4 linked regions of the Drosophila melanogaster genome follow. The gene in region 1 interacts genetically with each later gene. Each region holds a gene or a part of one and is shown in the gene's direction. Other genes may lie near its edges.

Region 1 (4,816 bases):
TGTTTACGAAAACAATATGCTAATCCAATCTTTAATACCCCAGCAACCAGGTTCTGATAAGGCCCCATATCATATATCGTATTTGTATATCGTAAATGGTGTTTTTCATCTTACCATCCGTAGAAAGTTCACCGTATTTGTGTGGCCATTGGAGAGCATGTCCTGGACCTGAAAGCTGTCTCGCAGTTGTTTCCTTTCCAAGTTCAGAAAAGCCTGCAGGCCGAAACTTTGAATGAGCTTATGGGATTGGACTTTGAAGCTTGGGATGTGGTAAGAAGCCAGACTCAAAAGCTATTGACGAAGGGTTCAGAATTGGACCACAATGTGGACTTGAAGGCGGTGTAAGTCGGATTTATTATAATAATTTATTATTCATAGTTAATAATTTATTTATTTATCAGTTCCATTGTGCCACAGTCTGAGATCAAGCTGCACCTGCCTGCACAGATTGGTGACTATACAGACTTTTACTCATCCATCCACCATGCCACCAATGTCGGCATTATGTTCCGTGGACCAGACAATGCTCTGATGCCCAACTGGCGCCATCTGCCGGTGGGCTATCATGGTCGTGCAAGTTCTGTGGTGGTTTCCGGTACTCCCATCCGTCGTCCTCTTGGTCAAACGTTTCCCGATGGAGCAGAGAAGCCCGTCTTTGGCGCCTGCAAGCTTCTGGATTTCGAACTAGAAATGGCTTTCTTTATCGGTGGTAAGGGAAATCAGCTGGGTGAACCCATACGCGTGGATGAGGCCTGGAAGAACGTGTTCGGTTTCACGCTGATGAACGACTGGAGTGCCAGGGATATTCAGAAGTGGGAATATGTGCCACTGGGCCCCTTCACCGCAAAGAATCTGGGAACCACCATCTCCCCTTGGGTAGTGCCCACAGCTGCCCTGAAGCCCTTCGTCTTGGACAACTTTCCTCAGGAACCGGAGGTGCTTCCCTATCTGCGCCAGAACATTCCCTTTAACTTTGATATCAACCTCGAGGTGTCTTTGAAACGTAAGTTGCCGCCTGTTAAAGATTTGTTACGTTAATTCACAAAATTTCCCCTTCTCAGCCGCCGATCAAAACGAAGCGCTTATTTCAAAGTCGAACTTCAAACACCTTTATTGGACTCCACTGCAGCAAATCGCTCATCACACAGTCACCGGTTGTAATCTGCGTCCTGGTGATCTGATGGCCTCCGGAACGATCTCCGGTGAGACTCCAGACTCGTACGGATCACTTTTAGAGCTCTGCTGGAAGGGCACCAAAACATTGGAGCTTCCGGGTGGTAAGACCAGAAAATTCCTCCAGGACTTTGACGAGGTCATCATCCGTGGCCACTGCGAAAAGAACGGACTGCGAATCGGATTCGGGGAGTGTGTGGGTCAGGTGCTGCCTGCCCACCCCGTTCCGCAGTAGGACCACTTATTAACATAAGTAAATGAAATAAATTCTATTCAGTCTTCCTGGATACGTCAATACATTATGATGTTCGGAAAACTTCAACTTTTCGTTCAAAAGCATACTTTTTGGGATAAATGGCCATCCATAGTAGCGTATACGTAATATTTTTTCTCGGTGCACAGTAATAAGCTCAACAAGTGCTCAACTCTTTCGCTCTCTCGCTACGATGCCTTGCTCTCTTTCGTTTACACAACTCTCGCTCCAATCGGAGCCTCTGCCATTCCACGCAGCTTCGTAAATACGCGCACGCCGCTTCTTCTTTGGCTGCAGAGAAGAGCGGAGAGCGCCAATGGGAGCATAGCTGAGCGGAGCAGCAAACCGCATTCATTCCTCGAAAGTCGGCGGGCGAAGGTGGGCGCGCTGCGAAAAGTCAAACGGCAAAACGGCAGAAAGGCAAAACGGCCCGCCTATCGGGCAAACTTGTTTAAAGTGCCATAAAAAAGCCTCTAAAAAGCGTAGAAATAAAAAAAGCTGCCGTGCAGCGCAAAGCAGACGCGACTGGCGCCGGTGCCCCAATAATAAATTTTCCGACGAGTGTGCAACTTCTTTCGGTTATTTAAAACAAAAGAAATAAATAAGTAATACAACTTAAAGTGCAAGTGCAGTGGTTGAATAGCGCCCTGAATTAAGTGTAAGTGCTGCTCGCAAATTGAAATTAAAATTAGTGCAGAATAGTGCAAATGTTTTCCGCAAACAACGCTGAATGTCTTGGAAAAATCAATTTTTTACTCCACTCTGCGCAAGTACACACACACAAATACGCTGACTAGCGAAGGGCAGACGGCGGGTTGGGGTGGGCCACCCACCCTGGCAGAAAACACTCTGTCTGCTCACAGTACACATGCACTGTTAGAAATGTTAATATCTTTTGCACATTATCACATAGTATGCATATGGATGTTCTTTAAAGATATGTATGTAGAACAATTGCGTTCGAGTAGTAGGATCAAGGGGCCATTGAAATTATTCGTATTTTGGATACATTATAAAATAATATACAACCCATTTGTTTACTGTGTGGAATGAAGTCAACAAGAGACCTCCGAATCCATACCCATTCAAATTCCCTTCGCCATTGTTGTTCTTGCTGTCCTCCGCCGACTGCATGCACTTTTGTGTTTTTGCATTGATTTTCCACATCGTTTTTTACACCGACTGTCGCAGTTTGGCCAAATGCATCTGCAGCACGAAGATGTATCCCCCGAATGGCGCGGATGTGTCTGAGGATGGGGACATGGACAAATGCACACGCAGCACGCAAAAAGTTAATCAGGCCCCAAAGAACAACAAAACGGTGGGGCCCAAAACACACTAACAGCGAAGGAGAATGTGAGCCTAAAGACAGTTTTATACCCTGTGATAAAACGAACTATAAACTAACATAGGTTCCTGTGTTACAATGTGATTTTTCTTAATTCATAAGTATTAGGAAAATTTATTGGTGCAAGATTTTAATGCAAGATAGTTTTAGAGCGTGTTGGGTACACCCTGACAAGTGTAGGGTATCGAGCAGTATTTGCAATTAACTGGCGCCGTCGGCTATCGTGCGAGAGCAGCCGGCGGGTTCCGCCTCCTCGCCCGCGGGTCCTCCTTCGGCCCACTCCACGGAGCACTTGGGACAGCGCCAGTTGAACCTGTTTTGGCGCGCCAGAGACACCGCTCTCTAGCTTCTTGAGTTCTCTTCATGTGCGCATTTGCTGAAAGTGGAGAAAGGAGAGGAAACCAGAAGCGAAATGGGAGAAAAGAAAGGCCAGAAATAGCGTCCCTTCGAAATTATAATTGCTCTATAAATTGAACATTATTATAATCATGATACAAGAAATATTGTACGAAAATGGAAAAGGAACAGAAAATATTCTATTCGGAGCTTTTCTTCAACTGGGCTTTATCGCGTTGACGCATCTTCCAAAGTTTTTTCTGGCGGACGAGGTCGACAAGATCAAGTGGTGATTGCGGGACGACTTTCGACATGATAGCATCCAGTTTGGAGTTAATCATGTTAACCAAAAGTCCGACTGCATTGACAACCGACTGCTGATCATTTGGATCCACTTCCAACAAGGCTTCTGGTATTGGTATTTCTTGAGCTGGAGAGTGCTCTGAAGAACCCGATGAAGAGTCAGAGTCCTCGCTTAGATTGGCCTCTAATATGGCTTTCGCTAATTTTTCAGTTATCGAATCCTGTGAGGAACCTGATGATGGGTCGGACTCCTCGTTCTCATCTGAACCATCACAGTAATCTTTCGACACGTCTGATGAATCGGAATCCATTTGCAAACTCTTCTTCGCGTTGGAATCCTCAGTGGTGTCCGAATCCTTATTGCTACGATTTGGGTTCTGCATGAAATGTGGTAAATGGAATATGAATGCACTCAGGACACAATTAACCAACAACATACCATCTTATTCATCTTTCTGAAGAGTTGCAAAATAGTTAAGCACAATGACGAAGCCAATAAAATTCACTGCAATCCAGAAAATGAAGTAAACGAACACAAGTTCTCCACTCATGACATTCGAGTTCAGAATGAAATAGTTAGTTGGATATTCTATGATATCGATTTGACAAGTAACTTACAGCGTGCTGGATAATAAAATTAGCAATCCCACAAAATCGAATCGAATCGTTCTCTGCAAAAATTGCTGAATAATTCTATTAGCTGTTGGTCAGCTGTTTCAGGCAAAAGGAACTGTCAAACATTTTGACAGTTCATCAACCCCTACCAGAGTTGTCACCATCTATGGCGAAATAATCTAGTATTTATTTAATGCTAGATTTTTTGTAAATCAACATATCGCGCTTTTGCTTTCATTCTTGATTCACTTGCATGAATTTCTTGAATGGAAAATGCCATAAACAATAGCCGTAATCGCATGATAAGTCTATCCTGAACTGTCTGATAAATTGCTTATCTTGGCTTAAATTTCATGCCTCGTCACCCACAATTAACCCAAATGCCGCCGATGCAAATTTGTTACCAGCTAGGTATAAACACATTTTTATTTGCCAGTGTGTACATACATATGTATTTATATGTATAAGACAAGCTAACGTATCCTATAATTGGAGCGTAATAACTTTAACCAGCCACATAATTAATGACGGCAAAATTTCTAATCAGCATTCAGGGGGGAAACGAGTGTGAGGTGGAGTGTTTTCAAGAATGCGTGCTTATATACATATGTACATATGTACCTTTCGTTAATGGATGATAAGGGGGATAAATTAAAGGTAGTTCATTCATAGGGGTACACAATTGTGTAAATATATTCTCGCAGTTCCATCTAGATGCTCCACACTGCAATCGAGCCTCAAGTGAAATGATTCCTATTCTGGCGGCGCCTGGTTCCAAATCGGTTCCA
Region 2 (4,727 bases), on another chromosome or scaffold:
TGAGTGCAATGAACTTTTTGTGGCTGGCAAATTGGGTTAGCACATGCAATGTATCCCTATTGCCTGGATTTATGTCAACCTCGAGCACAATTAAAATCAATAGAGAGCGCAGTGAAATCATTCAGGTGTCTGACAATTCCTGCAGGACATTCGTCAGTCACATTTATTGCTGGCTAGTGGAAAGTTCGACAATGGAGCTGCGTCGGAAAATCGCTCTGCATATTCTGCCCCTATTTTTAGCCATATTTCTATTCACCATGGGCGAGGCATATCTGAAGAGTGTCCGCGTGGATGAGATTCCCTTTGCCGGAAGAAAGGCCCTGGCCAATCGGCGGTCCAGCGGTATTCATCTCATCTCCAGTCTGGAGCATCAGCGCACTTTTCTTCATCTCTTCCATGTGCCCTGTAAGTTAAGCAATCTATTTCGCAATCGAAAGTGTTATATACAAGAATGGGCCATAGTTTTTCCACATTTAACTAGAATGTTCTAGATCAAGATCTCTGTATTTTGAACAAGGATTAGAACATAGGTTTCTGTGTGATATCTTCCCAATTTACAATAGTTCTTTTCAGTTTAAAAGACATCCACAACGCATTGAAATCATTTTAAGAGACGAATACGGCTAAGCCTAAAAGTATGCTATACTTTTTCACAATTTATCATATGTCGCAAGGAAACAATGAATAAACTTCTTTAGCAACTAAAATATTTAAATTTTTATCTCCTCAAGCATATGAATACTTTTATTAAGGCTAGCAGAATTACAAATCGCTTAAATTTTTACATTTCAGACATCATATGCTTTTATGCCGCGAAGGGCAAATGGCCATATGTGCCTGGATTCATGAAATACCGGGTTGACAATGCAGCTCGCAGTTTCTTCAATCAGAACGACAGTTTCATCAAACAGTTTTGCACCAAGTGGATTCAGGTGAAGGAGTGCTTTCGTCCCTTATTCGGTGGGTGGCAACTCTTTATGGAGTTCAGACATAGATTGACCTATTTAGGCACCTCTTTCCAGACAAATCAAATAACACAGATGTTGAAGTGGAAACGCTCGATGCAAAAATTCAGGGACAGCGTTGTAATTGTGACAAATTGTTGCTCTCAACGGAGCCACCTGTACCGGTCGTCTACTTCGACAAGAACTACATTGGAAACGTCAGTTCGGAAACGATTTTGAATACCATTGAGTTTCTTGAGAGTTTCCTGCCACCGCCCACTAAAAAACACAAGCGCAAGAATCGCGTTCGCGGGCGCGTAGATGATATGGATATTGAATAGAAATCGTTCTTTTTCATTCGCATATACCTTCGTAACGCACTTAGATTTTAATCATCACAATCATAACCAAAAAATCATCGCTTAAATTTGAATTCAAATTCGGTTGTCAACAGTTTTCTAGAGATAAGTGGTACACTATCTGTAATGCTCAGAATATTATGGCAAAATAAAAATTCTTTAATTAACAGAGCGCAACTTAGCTTGTTAATATAGATTCTTGTTCATGTTTTTGTATTAAATGTAAAAATATTTATTAAAAATTGCTTTAAATGTTTTTTATCGATAGGCATAGCTATACCGATATTAGTCGATAGATATGCAGCTGGTCTTAGTTTATCGATAGTACTATCGAAATTGTCATCGCCAATTGGATTCTGGTATATATTCGCGGTCGCCGGACGGTCACACTTATTGCACTTACTCCAGTTGGAAAGGCAACAGTGTTCGCGTCGCGGAAGAAACAAGAAAGAAAAACAGCGAGAAGCACTGCAAATGCATTGGCTGCATTTAAAGAACAACCGCGATTAGAGGAAGTGTCTCAGTACACAGTCGAATTAGCCATACAAATTGGCAAAAGTGTTATAAAAGAGAAGCGCGGTGGTGTGCCAACAGCCCAAGAGCAAATTCTTTTGCATTCGCTTTTGAACCGCTTTCATCGCGAGTTCCCGTTTCTCTGTGTGCGTGAGCAAAGAGCGTGTGCAAATAACTTTTTGCCGCGTTGTCCGCCTGCTGCGAATTTCCAACCGAAAGAGGACAGCGAGAGCGCGAGAAGAGAAGAGAGGATCGAGTGATCGGGTGAATGTCGCTGAAACACCAGAAGCAATCCTACCAACCGCTCCCAACGGCGGCCGCCATGGACAATCCGGCGATGATCCAGAGCAGCGGTAGCAGTGGGAGCAGCTCCTCTGAGGAGGGCGGGAGTCGTGAGGATGTGGCCAATCTATCGCCGCTCGGACTGCCTACGACCTACTCGTCACAGCAATTGATGCCCTCGGATACGGACAGCATGGAGGAGGAGCGGCACCGACTGCGTCCCCACCACCATCACCACCACCCACTGGGCGAGCACCACCACATCCCGGGCATACCACCATCCGCCGTCGTGCCATCGCGTCTCTCCAGCGTGGGCAGATCGCAGTGGTTCACCGTTACCGTGCTATGCTTCGTCAACCTCATCAACTACATGGATCGCTTTACGATCGCAGGTGAGTCCGGTGATACCTCTTTGGGTGTCCTATGGGATTCCATACGTTTTTTGGGGGGCTTGTTGCCGCAGTAGATAGGAAAATTTGTTGACACTATTGAAGAAGATTGCTATAGACCGCTGTAAAAATCACAACTTTTGTGTGACCAAAAGATTGGGCAGCCCAAAGCACTTATAGTATGTATTCATTTATATATCAGGCAAAAGAATAATAAAAACATTTAAATTGCACAAAATCTGCTGACAAAATCATAATGTTATTAATTAGCAGCCGCTAATCAACAATACTTGTGACCTAATCAGTTGAAATTTATACCTCATCGTCGACAATGCGAGTCGTCGCGTTCCCATTGTTTACAAAATGTACCATAAAGATTGCGAGCGAGAGAATTTGATTAGTGACTAATCTACTTACAAGTGAATCACGCGATCCAAAAATATTCATACAGAGCATTTTATCATTCGATTCGCTTTGCACCGAAACTCGGGACATTTCCACTGGGTGGGCAATCAATCAAGACCCATTTCGCCTAAACCTAAACATATGTATATTATTTCTAGCACTCAGGTGCGATAAAATGGAGTGAGTGAGCACGGCGGTGGCGGCACCTGACCTGCTTAGCACGGCGGGTAATGGTAGTTGCGATCGGCGATCAGAAAGTCCCCCGCCCGCGTGACAATTACAGGGTAATCTCATGTTTCAGTCGATAAATACAGACACACTGCCCACATAATTGTTGAGTTTATTATTATTAAGAACATTAGCGAAGGAAATTGATCTTAATTCATGCGGGCGGCATTTCATTGGACACTTGTTGAGTGCCGAAGTTCTTTTCACTGTTTACTTGTGTCTGGAAAATGAGACTACTACCGATTGCACTTGCACTTCGACTGGCGACATCTTAGTTACACAAAACGCGGTGCAAATCGATTGGAAACTTGTTTCAGGTTACATGGCGAAACAAGTTGTGACTGATTATTATACGTACAAGTCCGCCTCAGACGACCGTTTAATATGCATTTCTAAATATGTGTATATTATAGCTATAGTTTCGCATTTTCTTCGTGAACCTGAACAGCCAGTTCTTCCTGAGTCAGCAGAACTTTTCCACTCAAGGCCATGTGATAACGTCTTTTACTGTATGTGTAGTTGCAATTAATTTGCAATTATAAATCACTGGCTATTAGTTATCAGTTGATTGCCGCAGCGGCAATTGGAAATCGATCTTACAACCCTTTTTTTTCGGTTGCAAATCATAAGCTTTTGATTCGTGTAAAGCCACCGGATCGAGTGACTAAAAAAACATCATACGACTTTTTGCAACAGAACAGGAAGTGGAATTACTCACCGAAAAGGGGCGATAGCACTTACATACCGAGCCAAACAAAATCGCTGTTTACATATTATATTTAATATAAACACACATCGCTACTCGCCACTCGGAAATTTTCATTATTTCCATGGGCGCCTAATTGATTGTTTATTTTGAGAATTCTGCGAGCGCAAGGCGAAATAGAAAACTCATATAAACAATGGTCGGTCGCACAAGGTTTTTGTTTTGCCATTTCTGCCAGTGGCATTGTTATCATTATCAACCCCCCCCCCACTTTTTTGGGCCTTATCAAGAAGTGGCTGAAACCAGACGCGCTGCATAATCAATTGCATTGGATCACCAGCTGCAGTGCACGTGGTGTTTTGGGTCACTTTTTTGCAGTGATTAGATTACCAAGCGATTATTTGTTTAGCTTCTGCTAACTGACTGCTCTGATTGCTTGGCCCTTTTGTATTTAATGTGAATTTCGGCATTTGCAACGTTTCCGTGTGGTTGTATATAACAAGCAAAAATACATGCATACATATGCATATATTTATTTGGCGCACATAGACGTGTGTATCAGCTGATGTCTGCCCAACCTAATGGAATGCATTTAATTATAATTTTAAGTGCGTCTCGGCCTTTGGCTTCGACCTCCGACTTTGCTGAAATTCGCCTGGTTTTTTAAGCTAAAACCGACCGACTGACGGTAGTGGTGTGATGTTTTGTAACCACCTCGTTCGGTCAAAAAAAAAAAAAAAACACTGGGAAGCCCCCCTCTTCATTCATGATCGTGATCTGTGTGAGGGTGGATGGGAAGGGGGGGGCGGGGCTATTCTGTTGTTGACAGTAAATTCAATTTCTGCACCGACAGCGAACTTTGATCATCGCAAAAAGAACTGGCATTTATTTTGGTCAACAG
Region 3 (7,569 bases), about 17 Mb from region 1:
ATTCTTGTTTCCTGCTATTTTGATTTTCATTTGTATAAACTCTATTCCATTTAAAAATTATGAAGAGGAACTTTTTATGGGCTGTCAACATGTTGTTTTAAAATATATGCATATATCTTTTTTATCTTAACCGAATGTTTTGATTCCCACTGGAATGCCGCATTGATTACCAATTTTTTCCACACTGCACCGATTTTTTCATATTTTCGTTTCAGTTGTTTTTTTCACCATTTTTTACATTTGGTGGGTTGAGCGTTTTCTTTACGTTCCATTATTGCTGTTGAAAAAGTTTGCCCGCTCATAATTCCCGATTGCTCTTTTGCTCAATTGTAAATCGGAGGGGTGTTGGGTGGATACTCAGTGGGGGCTTCGGGGATGGGTATATTCGGCAGCCCCGGTCCACAGTTGTTTTACGCAACATTTACTGTGGCATCGGACGCATCTTCGGTGGAAATTTTGGTGGGGTGGCGGTGGGCGTACGTGGGCACCCACATCTCTGGAGCTCGGACTTGAACTCTCTCGTGTTCTTTTAGACTCAAACGTCTGTTTTACGCTAATTGGAAAAGTTGCAAGTTTTTTGCCTTGCTTTTTACCAGTAAGGGGGGCTAAATGGCAGGGGGCGGACTTTACTCGATAGGCCCGTGCGGTGTGTGGCTTTTATTGGAGGCAAATTGCTTAGAGCGATGCTTATTAGCAGCTGACACGGCTGCGGCTGTCTCATCATCAAAGTTGCGGCCTAAACTGCGAGCAGCTTCAAAAATACGTATACAAAATAATCACAAGACAAACGACCTGACTTTCATACTTTTAAATTGGCCATTAGCCCGCTTTCGCGATAGGCCCTGTCAGAGAATCTCGGCTATGCCCTTCCCGAAATCAGCTTAGTCTTAAGCCCCTGCATCCTGCTCTTTATTTGTAATTATAATAAACAAAAATGACTTTATATTTTGAAGGATGTTTCTGCATCCGCTGTTTGCTCTCGTCGCGCCATTATCATCAAGAGCTCTTCGCTAACGCGGTGTTTATGCGGCGCCGGAAGTTGTGATTTTAATTTCGGGTAATTAACTATTTAAATTTAAAATTTAATTCAAATTAATCCATGTCATAGGACTGTCTAACAAATTATATCTAGCCAGATATAAAATATAAATATAAAATATTTACTTCCATAAAAAAGTTAAAAAAAAAAACCCAAAATAATGATATATTTTTACGAGAACTTAATATTCGGTTGCATCTATAAACATATGATAGGGACTAAGACTTAAGATTACCGTTCAAAATAAAAATGGGAAATTTTTCTCATACCCTCCTTACGGCATCATTTCGAAAATTGCCACCGTGTAAACCCGAATTTCAGAAGTACTACGAGGGTCCTTCGCGGGTTGCGTCTGATGACTCTGCCTTCCAGGCTCAACAGCGAGAGCGCCTGCGTGGTGAGAGGAAATAGTGGGATATTCTTCTGTGGGACACCAGAAACAAGAACAAAAACACTGGAATATCCCGAAATCGGAGCGATATATGTCCGTTCTGACTGGCAAATGGTCTGTGCAGCGACGGCGGCAGCAGGTTAGTTCAGTCTCTTGCCTTAAATGGCCGCGTGCGGCAGACAAAAGCGCATGAAAAATTCATTGGGAACCGTCGGAACCGAAAGTTTAGCGTCAGGATAGCGACAACAACAAGGACCACGGCACTACTATAGCGAATATAGTATATCGAGTGCTAGTCCTAAACGTCTATCGTTAGGTGTAACGAGGTGTGCTTCTGTGTGTGTGAGTGTGCAGTGTGTGTGGAGGATTTGTGACTGTGTCAGTGGCGTTGTTAAAAAAAAACACAACAACAATTGAATGCCAAATTGAAAGTGGTTGACAGGCAACTGGAAAAACAACAGCCAAGGCAATAGCTTCGAGTGTCCTTTCGGCCAAGGCAAAGTGAAAGCAATACTCATCCGAAAAATAGAGAAAATACACAAAACAGCGATCAAAAAGCAAGTTGCAATTGCCGAAAGCCTATTATTTTTCCATTGATTTCCCAGCAAATAAAGTGAGCAACAATTCCGAAAATATGTTGTAAGCCTGGACTCTTCTGTTTCATAGTGAGTGGGAGTAGTCACAGAACATCAAACGTTTAAATACAAATTAGTATGGCATGTGTTCCAACAAATTCGATTTCCCCCTCATGCTGTCTCTTTCGCACACGCGTCGTTCCGTCTCTTTCTGTGTTAAATTTTCAACAACTTTTTGGCATGTGGCATACTTTTTCGGGTTTCGTTGAAATTAATTCCCGAAGTTCTGTTTTCTGTTTCGATGTATTTTTCTTTTTCTTTTTTTTGTTTTTGTTTTATTTTTTTTGTGGTGTATGGGCAGAGAGTTCATTTTCCAGGCTCTGATTTTGGCCCGTTTTGGTTAATTAAGCCAGCGAAGTCGTCGAAGTGCGATTTGAAGCCAGCTTGAGCAGACATTGATTAAAAAAATGTCGATGGTGTCATCAAGTTGAATGGGAAAACTTTAATTGGGAGCAACGGTTGCGGAAACTTTTTCAAACTGATGGACAAATACGTCGAGCTTGCTTTCAAAAATGACTTTTTAATTTGAATCTGATTAAGTTTCTGTAAAAGTTTTCACAGTCAATTAAAATACATTTTCTGTGGAAAGGAAGCAATACATTGACCTTTACATATTTTTTGATGAACAATGTTTTTCTGACATCAAAAAGGCTTTAATTCACTAATCTAAGAGATGGCTAAATGCTGTTTGTATGTAAAAGTCAATTAATTTGCTTCTGCGAATCCGTTTTAATTTAAATAAGTTACAATGCGATAAAAATGCAATAAGGATTATCTCGCAACCACTAAGGTTAATTAATTAGTTAATATTTTTTATTTAATTCAATGCCTTAAAAAGTTTAATATTAGATATGTTTTTTTATACATGTACATTGTGTCTGTCAAAACTCCACTTTCGCTTTATTTCATCTGAAAGTTTTGTAAGCCACTAATTGCTAATTTATGGCCCAACACGAAATTGGTAGAAAGCTATGAACTTAATTTAATATTTTATTTATTCCAACGCTCGAAAACTTAAATACAAACTCCTTTGTGAAAAATTACATTTTTTTATAACTAAAAAAAAGAAATGGAATAAATTGGGTTTTAAATAAAATGTTGCTCATCAGAGTTATTAATGAATAATTTGATTGGCGCATAAAGTGTCACCGTTTTGGGATATTTCAATTTAGCGAAACACATTGCGGAACCATTTTACAAATTTATGACCATCGAAAGTAGGCAGGCGTCAATGAAATTTTAATGAAATTAGACCGGCAAGCGATTTCCGCAATTTTACAATTTTCAATTGTAAAACGCCAATTCTGGAGCTATTTGGGGATGGGTCACAGAGGTCCTGTCCGCAGTTTATGGCATTTTAATCATCTAAGAACGCTCTTGCTCTTTGCAGTCAACATGCAAATTGCCTGCGCCGGACCCGCAGTCGAATCCAGGGCCAGAATCCTTGCCAGGCATCCTCATCATCAGCAGCAGCATCATCATCATTGGAGGCAGTGGAACGCAAACGCACCGTAGAGCCAGCCAACAGGGCGCAATAAAAATTGCCTTTCGATAAATGGGCGGAAGTGCCAGAGGCGTGGGGCGGAGGGGCGTGGTCCTGGAGCAGGATGTACGCACAAGGTCGTCGCAGGGGGAGCGAAAGAGGGGGCTCGCTGGCAAACAGCAGCACAACAATGCCAAGCTTCCGCTTAGGATGCGCTCGAACGGAAGTTATTTTGGCCGCCTGAACGTGAGCGCGCTGCTCATCTACTTGTGGTGCTATCTGCTACTGGTTATGGCAGCATCTGGCGGCAGCAACCACGTGGTAAATGGCCTCAAATGCTATTGCAATCCGAAGGAGTGCGACGTGATCCGCTCACCCGACTGCCCCGGAAAAGGACTTATGCTGTGGGATCCATGCAAGTAAGTCCCGCTCCCAGAGCTCCAATTAAAATGATATTTTCCGGCCTGTACATGCCATCCATTTTGTATGCGAATCAAACGAAGAAATTGATATTAGGATTTATTCCAGCGGTCAGAACTCTGTTTGAAATTTTCATTTCGATTTGGTAATCTTTTGACTTTTGGTATAATGGAATAGAATTTTCTGTACGGTAGTAATCATAAAATCATTCTATGATTTAATTATTTATAAAGTGTTCCATTTTGTTTCGAGAAATAGTCTTGTTATCAAACCAATTAAATTAATTTTAAATTTCGGTTTGTACCTTTACCAATATTTTTGTTTCCAACATAAATTGGCACACTCTAAATTAGGTTTATTAGGTGCACAAAGCTTTGTTGTTTTGATTGCCTAACACACGAACGGGCTTTAATTTCCTTATATTAACGTTGGTTGAACAATGGTGGTCAAAACAATAGAAAACAATTTAATAGTGTGTCATCCTGATGCTTTGATGATTACCCACAGGATTATCAACGTTTCTATTACATGTATACATGTATATATCAAATTATACTTGTGTTAAACTCCCATGATTTTATGATTGATTAAACTTATTAATTGTTTACATGTTAATAGGAAACTACAGCGATAATTTTAATTATAACATTCCATATTAGATCCGTGTTTGATATGGATATTGTTTTGAATCGTACCTCATTTATCGTTAACCTATTATAAATTGTTTGGTTTAAATGATTCGCAGAGACGTTTTTACTAACTATTTCCTAACTAAGCATGAAATGGTCACAAATTCATAAGCTCACCACGATCTTAATAATTGGCATTGATATAATTAAGAGCGTCAGACATCAGAGTGTCTCCTTCGAATTCCAACCCAATTCGCATCGTGAGTGACTGATTGGACTAATGGACTGATTGGAATTCACATCAGGCATCGTTCTCCTCATCTCACTCCGAGTAGAGAGTGTTAACTAATTGTTAACGTTTATCGAATCGAAGACGGAATCTAATCAATTACTACTGGGATTCATTCCATCCATAGTCCATTGCGAGGATTATGCCCACATCTATTTATTCTATATGTCATATACACACCTCCAACTATTCGCAGATGTTGCCGCATATGCGCCAAAACTTTGGGCGAATCCTGCGGCGGTCCGGGCGGATTTTCCGGTCAATGTGAGCCGCCCCTGCAGTGTGTGACCAAGCTGCCCATTAGCAGCGGATTGGGCGTGTGCATGGGTGAGTCCTTAGTTTTATGTACACACTACAAATGTGCACTCAAAAAAAAAAAAAGAAGAATATTCCGTTGTACTTTAATTTATGTATACATATCTAAGAAATACCACCTTTGATCAAATAAAAGACTTTTTATTCATGTTAAAATTTCTTCTAAACTTGTGGATTGGATTTTGATATAATAATAAGGATGTTATTATTGATATTGTATTTATTTGGTACATTTAAAGCTATTAATATATTACAATATTATTTATCGCTGGGTCAAAAAAAGTTTTTTCCAACGTGCATTTAGCACTTGTAAAAATAATAAAAAGGGTGTATGTGGGGTGGGGCACCGGCTAGCTGGTTATTGTTGGGTTATGGAGCATTCGTATTTAGTCGCATCCATTATGCATTAACATCACGTATTATAGACCACAGCGCCCTCAATTGATATGTCCGCAACCAGTTCGGATCGCTTCAGCAATTTCAGTCGCACTTGCCATTTGGCCTGCGGAGCTCCTGGCGGGAATTCGTCCGAAATGAATGTATAGTTGCGGATCTCGTACAGTTTTCCCTGCATAATTTGATGGCATCAATTCGGGTTTTGTGTATAATCGTGTTTGGGGAATTAATGCGTCCCGCTTGTGCAGCAATTTGCAATGAAAATGGAAAATGGTAAATGAAATAACTGCAGAATGTTGTTCAATTTTAACTAGTTTCGTTCGACGAGAGTGCCACAACACGAAATGTTGACAAATATTTGCTTTTATTTATTGAAAGTTGAATCTCAAGGGAAAATATTTGTCTTCATTCTGCTGTGCAGGGCAGGGGCAAAGTTTGACTAGTTCCAAAAAACAAGCGGAAGTCTTATTTCATTAAATTTCTTTCCTGGCTTGTTGTCATCGTTTTGATAAGAGCTGAAGTTCTCAAATTGTAAATATAACTGGAAAGCCAATATTTCTTTAACATATTACGAAAAATATTTCCAAATCTATAACAAATGAACAATGAAAGATTAAGGATGCATACGTCACTAACCTTCGAAACAGGACAGCTGTCTGGTAAATTGCTGACCGACTTGAGCCTTTTAAACAATTTGCCAACGATGTTGTTTTGGTACATTGAGCCCAAGTATTTGCATCCGTCTATCTTGATATCGGCTATATTCATGCGGCTTTTATCCTTTTTTATCAAATCAAATGTTGCAAGCACGTCGAAGTGCTCGATGGTTTGATTTAAACTGAATTTAACCGCTACCACTGCAGTCCTTTGTCGCACAAGTAGACATTCCAAGCTATTGACATATGCCTTGGCTATAATTTGGCAGCCAAGTGTTTTGATCGCAATGTCATAGTTGTTCTGGCGGGTAGAGTTTCTTTTTAAAATATTAGGCGGGGCAAATACAACAAACCTTTGCCAGTCCCAATTGAAGAGGTAGAAAAATCAGGAAAAACGAAAGCCGGGCCAGCATTATGCCAAACTAAAGCGAAAAATTAGATTTGGGTCGGCTTATATAGGCCTCGCATAATTTAAAATAAACGCCACCATAATCTGTTTTAATGCACTAAGAATCAAAGTTCATTGTGGGGCTTAATTACCATTTAATGTGTGATTAATACGACCCAGAAATACTCCCCTTTTCACCGATTTCGTGTTAATAACCGCATTTGTTTTGCTTGTGTTTTTGCAATAGATTTGCAGCACCTGACCGCCCTGACCTACAGTCAGCACGATAATTGTTCCGACAGCGATTCGATTGTTTTGGAGCCGGGCTGCGAGATCACCAACAAACGCTGCCAGTGCTGGCCAACTATGCGCACCTGTCTCAGCGAACTGACCAGCGATGGGGGATCCCCCGACGACTCTCGCTGGCACTTCAAGAACCTAGAGGTTGGTACACAAATCATACATCCACACACACACAAATTTCCCTTCTAATACGCCTTGATTTCCCGACAGGACTGCCAGTTGAATCTACAAAATCTAATAAAACTCGAACAGGAATTCGATGAAGACTACAAAATCTCACCGAGCAAATTCACATACAAAAAACTACGCAGAAAGCGAAAATCTTTAAAGAAACGAATGTAACTAACTAACTAATAACCAAGGGCTTGAAATCATATACAAAGGTGTCCAAAAGTATGCATATGCTAATAAGTCTGTGCTCATTAGCTTATTGTGAACTTTTAGATACCTTTATAATGGGCTTCAAAGCTGAAGTGATTTCACTAATTTGTATTTAATAGCGAAATTCCCTTTTTTTTTAGCATCATCTTGAAGGATTGAGCCCTGAATGCGCCATTGCGACTTTCTGCGTTCCCAGCTCTTAACTCAATAAAACAAAATGAGGAATCTCTGTACAGATAGTATG
Region 4 (6,789 bases), on another chromosome or scaffold:
CATGGCACGAAATGTGAAGGCTGTCATAAAAAAGAAAAACACTTACAACATCGAGTGAAATAACGCAAAATAAATATATAAAATGGGTGGCAGCTAGGCTTTTGGCCATTTAAACTTGTCGCACGGCTTTTATTTGTTTTGGCTTTTAGTTTTATTTTTGTTGTTGCTGCTTTCGGCGTGTGTTGTTGGCTGGCGAAAATGTCGTACAGAGTTTCCAATAAAACTGGCCATTTATCATGGCGCAGCCGCTTTGGAAAATATATTGAGAATCGACAATCGAATGTTACGCATACGCCCCGGAGGGCAGCTGTTGGCTGTTGATCGCTGCGCATGCGCAGTCAGTGGACTCGAATGCGGTTTCCACCGATCAGGCCTTAACCCCGGCTATTCTTGGCCCGATCCATTCCGATCCGATTCGATCCGACCCAACCGATTCCATTGGCGAACTGGGGGGTGCGTGCGCCTTTTCACGCTCTGTCAACTTTTGGGCATGGAACTACTGGGAGGAGGAGCAACTGAGACGCAGATTAGTGTCAAGATTTGCATACGAAATCGTATATCTGCCAGGTGCGTGTGTCGCCAATTTGGTAGGAGTGTTGCCAAATTTGGCTAATTCCGCCGAGCTGCGTTTGCCAAATCTTGTGCCACTGCATCCTGCACTCATGAATCATTTGTTGCTGGTGATTTAACCATTTATGATGGCTGTTTGCATTCAGATCTAGATATATGTACCAATTGCCTAATGAGGGGGAAGTGTTTAGAGTGGATTAAATCACCTTAGCAGTGTCGTTGACCGATCGTGGCTTAGTTTATTAAAAAGGCTTCTTGTAATCTGCTGAAATTTTCCATTTGCAAATGAAAAATTCGGGAGGAAAAGCTTTTTGTGGCTGACGTTGTGTCAACGCTTAGCGAAGTTGCAAACCACTCTGTTTTGGGGTGACCATGCCACCATTCAATTGGTTCATATCACAGCTATTCAAATGTTTCAAACTACATATGTATATAAACTAAGTACTTTTTTCTTATTATTATATAAAATTACTTTAAGTATTACTTTAAGGGTTGTTCAATCTTCTTGCTTGCATCATAACCCTATTTCGAGCATTTTCGGGGTAGCCAATGAAATTTGAAATTCAATACCCCGACATGAGCGTAGATGTAACAATGTTGTTGATGTACAATTCCTTGTCAGCTTGGTTATGAACTACCAAAATTATGCACAATGCTAGTATCTTCTATGTATATTTTATTTGTATTTGATATATGCTTATGGTAGGTATTAATATATATGTTTAAAATTTCCACTTTTATATACAAGTTATAGTAATTTAATTACATTACATCCGGATACTTATAAATAAAGACGCACAACCATCTAAGCCTGTTTACGTTGCTTGTTTTCCCAGCAAACAACGAGCAAGCCACACGCTGCCAAAAGAAACGTCATCAATTGAGCTGCACTGTGTGCTGTGCCCTCAATGAAATCGAAAAAAAAGGCATAACGCTGGCCACGAACAGAGCCGCCGAATGCGTGAGTCTGGCTGGCTGTCTGGTGGGCATCCATTTGATACGGCAGGAAATAAAAAAGTGCTGTGGCGACTAAGGGTTTCCCCAGAAGCAAGGCAACAACAACAGCTGCAGTGCGGGCAGCGACGCGACTGCGCTGCCAGCAACATTCAGTAGCAAGACTTTGGCACTCTGGCGAAGAAGCCTCGGCAACATCCACAGTCGTTCCTCGGCCGAGCAACCGTCTGCATCGCGCGCACTCTCGAAGCGATTTGAAGCCCATCCATCCAACCCTCGGAGGACCTAGTATTCGCCACCCAGCAGAGGCGCCACCAAGTCGCGTTCCGCATCCCCCAAAAGATTCGCATTAACATTCCAAGGAAGCCATGTCAGCGGTGCCGATGAAAGCCTTTCTGGCTGGTCTCTTCTTGCTGGCCAATGCCTGGCACATCACAGGTGAGATGTGTTAAACGTCGAAAATAATAAAGTGTCGATCGGCAAACTGAAACGCTCTTAAGTCCCCTTGTAAACATAAAGCCCCCCAGAAGTTGGTCTAATTATCCAGTTTTTCCAATGTGCGTGGTGCACAGAGAAAATTGTAAAAGCTCTGTGGTTTTAAGAGTAAACACTATGCTTAATTACAAAATGTACTCGAAATCCAGCATAATTTTGGACCGCAATTTTCTTCTGTGCACCTGTAATTCCATCTGGCCCACAAGGTCACGGATCCGCATAAAGTTTGGGGTGTGTTGGTTTTCAGACCCAGAGCCCATGAATGAAATTTGTTTCCAATTTTCGCGCAATTTGTTTATGTAGTTTTTCCGCCGGCCATTTAGCGCTTTTCCCTTGCGGTGTTTATAAAAATTCTCAAAATTTGGCTTACAACTAAAAAAGTTTCAGGTGAAATCCATAAAATATACTTGGCAATTTATGTTTCGCGCGATTCGAAAGCGGATTTATGGACGACACTTAAAATGATGGGTCTGTTTTTATCTGTCGTAAACAAATTAATAAAAGATGGGTGGAATATAATGAAATATTAATAGGAGGCTATGTGGGCTTAAATATAGAAGCGCTCACTTGTATATTTTGCATTGAACACGTGTAGAAAGAGAAAAGACATTTGAAAATTATGAGCACTATTATTTGTTGCGTGCAGTTAGGCCAGTTTAAAATTATACAATAAAGAGGCTTTATTTTCAAGTGAGAATTTGTATAGCTATCCCGATTTGTAAGTAAATGCCCGAAGTTAGGTAAAATAATTTCTGTTGATCCATTTTCATAATATACTGCACATTTCCTCATCGCGTATGGAACAAGTTCGTGGGTCATTGCTTCCTTGATGGACATCGGTTTCTATATATACACGTGCATATTCGCGTTTCGAGAATTTTCACGCTTTTCAATGATTGGCAACCTGCATGCCCTATAAATACAAATATTCGCCCGACTGCCAGACATTTCGATATTTATTTCCACAGTCATTTCGGAACGGCCCACATGATTTGCCAAACAGAATCCAAACGCCGAATGCATTTTCAACATTTCCATGGCCCGTTGAATGCCTTTGAATCGCTCCTGATTTTAATGAGGGTGATTGAGAAATGGGCATTGTGATTGGGTCATTAGGCGGTGAATCGAAGCAGCAGCTCCGGCCCCCTGTTGCTCTCAATTAGCCATTCCCGGTGTCCTGCAATTATCTAATTGCTCTATTTTTGCTTGCGTTTCAATCTGGGTTTACGAGATTCGGGGAGTGCGCATGTCAGAGTGGCGCCAGGATGTCGCCTGCTCCAGTTTCCCGCTGTCTTCGACATCTGGCATCCCGCATCCCCCAGAAATCTCTAGCCACACTTGGCAGGAAACTATGTCAAAGTCTGGCCGCCAGTTTGGGGGTTAGTTCTCTGCGCTTCCCGACTTGAATTGCGTAATTTGCGCCAACTGATAATGCAGGCAGATAAAAGTTTCGGAGTACCTTCGGCCAGGAAGTTGAGATTATCCTGACACACATCCGATCCGTATCGTATTATATTTGTTATTCTCGCGCTACATTTCTATGGGGGTGCTTTTGCTGATGCAAAGGCAGAGTTGTCGGTCCTCAGGGCGGAATATTTCCAAAGGAACCCAGGCAGGGCCGTTGAGTGCAACTTCCTTCAAAACAAGTCTCAGCTTTCAATTACCCCAGAACTGCTTTAAAAGAAGCCACACCAAGTCGGGCCATGTGCGTGACCTCAGCGAATGCTTTTAGAGTGTTAAGCGTGGGCGATAAAAAACCATTGGACGGCGACCTTGGATGACACTGGAAATAAAAATTGTTAGGACTATTTAAAGGGATATTTACTGAGGATATAAACTTTTGCAATATCCATTATGAGCCTTGATAACAGAATAGAAAGCCTAAGAACTTTTTCTGTGTGTAGCTGTGGGAAACAATCAATTACCCACACTACACCAACTTAGAACTGTGCCAATTACCTGAAACTGTTCTAAAGACCCCTGAACAAAAGAGCCGAAAGAATACAAACGGTGTGGCAATGGATTTTGCATATGTCCAGTCAATATAAGACTGCCAAACTTTTCCACCAACTGGCATCCCAAGGTCACTGCAACTGGAGCCTTCGGAGCGTATACGTAATATCGCCACCTCTAGTGTAATATTATAATTTAGCTGGGAAAGGAAAATTATAAATATGTTATAGTCAATATTTGACAGCCACCACTCCTTTAAGAAACCCCTTTCAAAACTGTTTGCCCTCAAGGTGCTCTAGTTGAGCAACTGAACTCGTGGCATGTTTGCCTTTTCCTGTGGTAAACAGGCATGTCCTGGCATTTTCAAAGGGCCGGACATGCAAAACTCTTTCAAGGACACGACCGACGATCTTGATTTACTGTCGCGCCAAATCACGCAACCTTATCAACACAATTAGAGGAGTTTCCCTTCCCATTTCCCACATCATCTAGGCTCTTGGACTAATTAAATCATTTGTCTAATTCTATAAATAGTTGAGACTCATCCGAACAGTTTGTTATATGAATTCTTATGTTAAAGGTGTGAAAATTTATTTTAATGTGCGAAATGAACGCGGTGAACTGAAGAAAAACAAATTATTATGAAACAAAAATAAACAGAAACCGAACTAGTAATATGTTCACAAAAGGAAAAAATATTAAAATGACTTCCAGGCTGCAAAAGCTTAACACATTTAAACAAACTTTTTGTTTGTCGTTCATTGTGCTTCAAATCTATCACATACCTCTGGCATTTAATTTTTTCATGTGAAAAGTACTAATATCACTGGTAAACTATGGTACTTTACCATACAAACTTGACTCATCTTACCACTTTTCTAAGGCATTGTGCATATATGGTACAAAAAGAACAATTTACTTAGTTATTTAGTTTATTATTTAAAGTAGTGGTTCAGTTTCCACTCACTACTTAGCAAGAGATTCTTTATTCTCCGCTCCACAAATTTCGAATTACCCCGCACTTTAACAACTAGAATTCGGTTACGTATACGTAATAAAATTCGAATGAGGCGCCACATCGACTGGCCCCACGCATTCTCCGTTTTCGCAGTGGGCGACCCAAAAGGGGCGGCACATGAAGATGATGATGTCAACCTCGGACTGGAGTCCACAGAGGAAAGCCACACCAAACTGTGTCACCCTCTTTTGTGTTTATTTGTTTCACAAACAAAGTTTCCTTTTCGGTGGAAAATATGACCCCATGAAAGGTCAACTGAAGTCAAAACTGATGGAGTTACTTCCCCTTTATTTACAGCCATAAATGAGCAGCACCAGAAGCATCACCTGCAGTGCTGGCACTGTAGCTCGGACACAATTGGGGCGGAGGACTTCTGCGACGTGACCTTCCAGGAGGACAACATTCCCACTGACCTGATCAAGGAGCGGAATATAAATCTGCTAAGGAGCTGCAACGGCACCATTAACTCCGATCACGAGAGGGCCGTTTGCCGCAAGACCGTGGAGGAAAGTGAGTAATCAGACCGAGGCACTTCCGCATACACATTGAAAGCAATCTTAACAAATTCCAGATAATGGCAAGCTGATCACCAAGCGATTCTGCTACTACACCAACAAATCAGATCCCGTGGAGCTGTGCAACATCACCAGTCCGGAGAAGAACGTGCGGCGGATATTCTGCGAGGACTGCCTCACCGATCGCTGCAACGGAGCCTTAGCAGGTGCATCCATTTTGGAGATGCTGCTGCTCCTGCCCATCGCGGGCCTCATCCAACAGTTTGCCATCTAAGCAAAAGATCCCCAGGTCGATTTTCAGTTGGAACGTGATATTTTGCCTGGCTCTCGGGCCGAGCTGTTGCTGATTTACATTTGCGTTTAGCTCGAATTAACTTAGTTTCGGGGACACTTGCCCCCCACTCATTAGCTTACATTCAAATGGAAGTTTAGGGTTCGATTATAGGTTTATAGTTTGCCTGGCCGAGTGCCGATGTTTGCCAAGCTCAAAGCTCAAATTCCGAATGAAATCCAATTCAAACATTTACCAAACAACACAATACCATAACGAAAGAAATTATAAATAGATGAAACAATAATCAGTAGAGATTAAACCCCCAAGCACAGTAAATACTCACTTATTAGTCTATGTACAACATGATATTTTAATGTAAAGAACACAAGCCCTCACCTATGTAATTATCTCAGAAGCTAGACAAACAGAAACACACACTTAAAATCAAAGTATTAAAGCACTCGAATATACAAAACCGAATCACCGAATAAAGTTCGCACATAAATGGGTTGGACTTAGAGGAATTTCAGAAGGTCTATAATTGCGTCAACAAGTCGTTGTTTTGTGTTTTGATCCAACCCCGGATAGAACTCCTCAATTTGGATACTTTGCCAGAGTTTAGCCATGTATCCGCTGAATTCTTGGCTATTTTTTTCACCACTCTTATATCGCTCGTAAAGCATCAACTCGGCTTCGACCATTGCAGCATAGGACTCTCGATTGCCGATATACAGCTGGTAGAGAAGCGCAGCCAGCCTGGTGGATCTCTCCAGGGTGTACGTCCGACGAATCACTGCCTTCAGGATCCTTGTCAGTTGGTCTGGCTTAAACACACAGTGGAGTTTACGGGAATGCTGTCCTATAGCCAACTGCCACTTGCCCAGCTCATGATCCTCGGATTGCAATGCTTGCTGGAACAGATCAGAGCAGTTGAGGGTCTCCAGATGCTCGCGGATCTGTTCGCGGATGAGATAACCCTGCAGGTGATGACGAACTGTCACGTTTCTCTC

Evidence for each region.
Region 2: of wit (region 1) and spin, changing one suppresses a phenotype caused by changing the other (phenotypic suppression), as found in Drosophila melanogaster (one study listed by BioGRID).
Region 3: of wit (region 1) and cmpy, changing one suppresses a phenotype caused by changing the other (phenotypic suppression), as found in Drosophila melanogaster (one study listed by BioGRID).
Region 4: of wit (region 1) and twit, changing one enhances a phenotype caused by changing the other (phenotypic enhancement), as found in Drosophila melanogaster (one study listed by BioGRID).

What each region holds. Positions count from the first base shown.
Region 1 is NT_037436.4:4,068,677-4,073,492, reverse strand, and holds the start of wit (wishful thinking), read left to right. Parts: upstream 1-1,775; 5' UTR 1,776-2,084; intron 2,085-3,211; exon of another isoform or gene 3,212-3,310; coding exon of another isoform or gene 3,311-3,790; intron 3,791-3,852; coding exon of another isoform or gene 3,853-3,864; exon of another isoform or gene 3,865-4,004; intron 4,005-4,031; exon of another isoform or gene 4,032-4,124; intron 4,125-4,816. Other genes in the region: Faa (fumarylacetoacetase), read left to right, coding at 124-341, 402-1,003, 1,062-1,408; CG32259 (uncharacterized protein), read right to left, coding at 3,311-3,790, 3,853-3,864.
Region 2 is NT_033778.4:16,123,293-16,128,019, forward strand, and holds the start of spin (spinster), read left to right. Parts: upstream 1-1,688; 5' UTR 1,689-2,084; coding exon 2,085-2,490; intron 2,491-4,727. Other genes in the region: CG30095 (uncharacterized protein), read left to right, coding at 192-405, 793-960, 1,023-1,285. UniProt on the Drosophila melanogaster protein: Probable sphingolipid transporter that plays a central role in endosomes and/or lysosomes storage. Involved in TGF-beta-mediated synaptic growth regulation both pre- and postsynaptically via its function in endosomal storage regulation.
Region 3 is NT_037436.4:20,713,197-20,720,765, reverse strand, and holds the start of cmpy (crimpy), read left to right. Parts: upstream 1-1,565; 5' UTR 1,566-1,772; intron 1,773-3,455; 5' UTR 3,456-3,620; coding exon 3,621-3,967; coding exon of another isoform or gene 3,968-3,971; exon of another isoform or gene 3,972-5,082; coding exon 5,083-5,213; intron 5,214-5,607; exon of another isoform or gene 5,608-5,613; coding exon of another isoform or gene 5,614-5,769; intron 5,770-6,233; coding exon of another isoform or gene 6,234-6,554; intron 6,555-6,606; coding exon of another isoform or gene 6,607-6,666; intron 6,667-6,888; coding exon 6,889-7,085; intron 7,086-7,154; coding exon 7,155-7,282; intron 7,283-7,465; coding exon 7,466-7,484; 3' UTR 7,485-7,569. Other genes in the region: CG34260 (uncharacterized protein), read right to left, coding at 5,614-5,769, 6,234-6,554, 6,607-6,666.
Region 4 is NT_033779.5:20,850,857-20,857,645, forward strand, and holds twit (target of wit), read left to right. Parts: upstream 1-1,721; 5' UTR 1,722-1,892; coding exon 1,893-1,962; intron 1,963-5,287; coding exon 5,288-5,500; intron 5,501-5,561; coding exon 5,562-5,779; 3' UTR 5,780-6,257; downstream 6,258-6,789. Other genes in the region: CG14400 (uncharacterized protein), read right to left, coding at 6,295-6,789.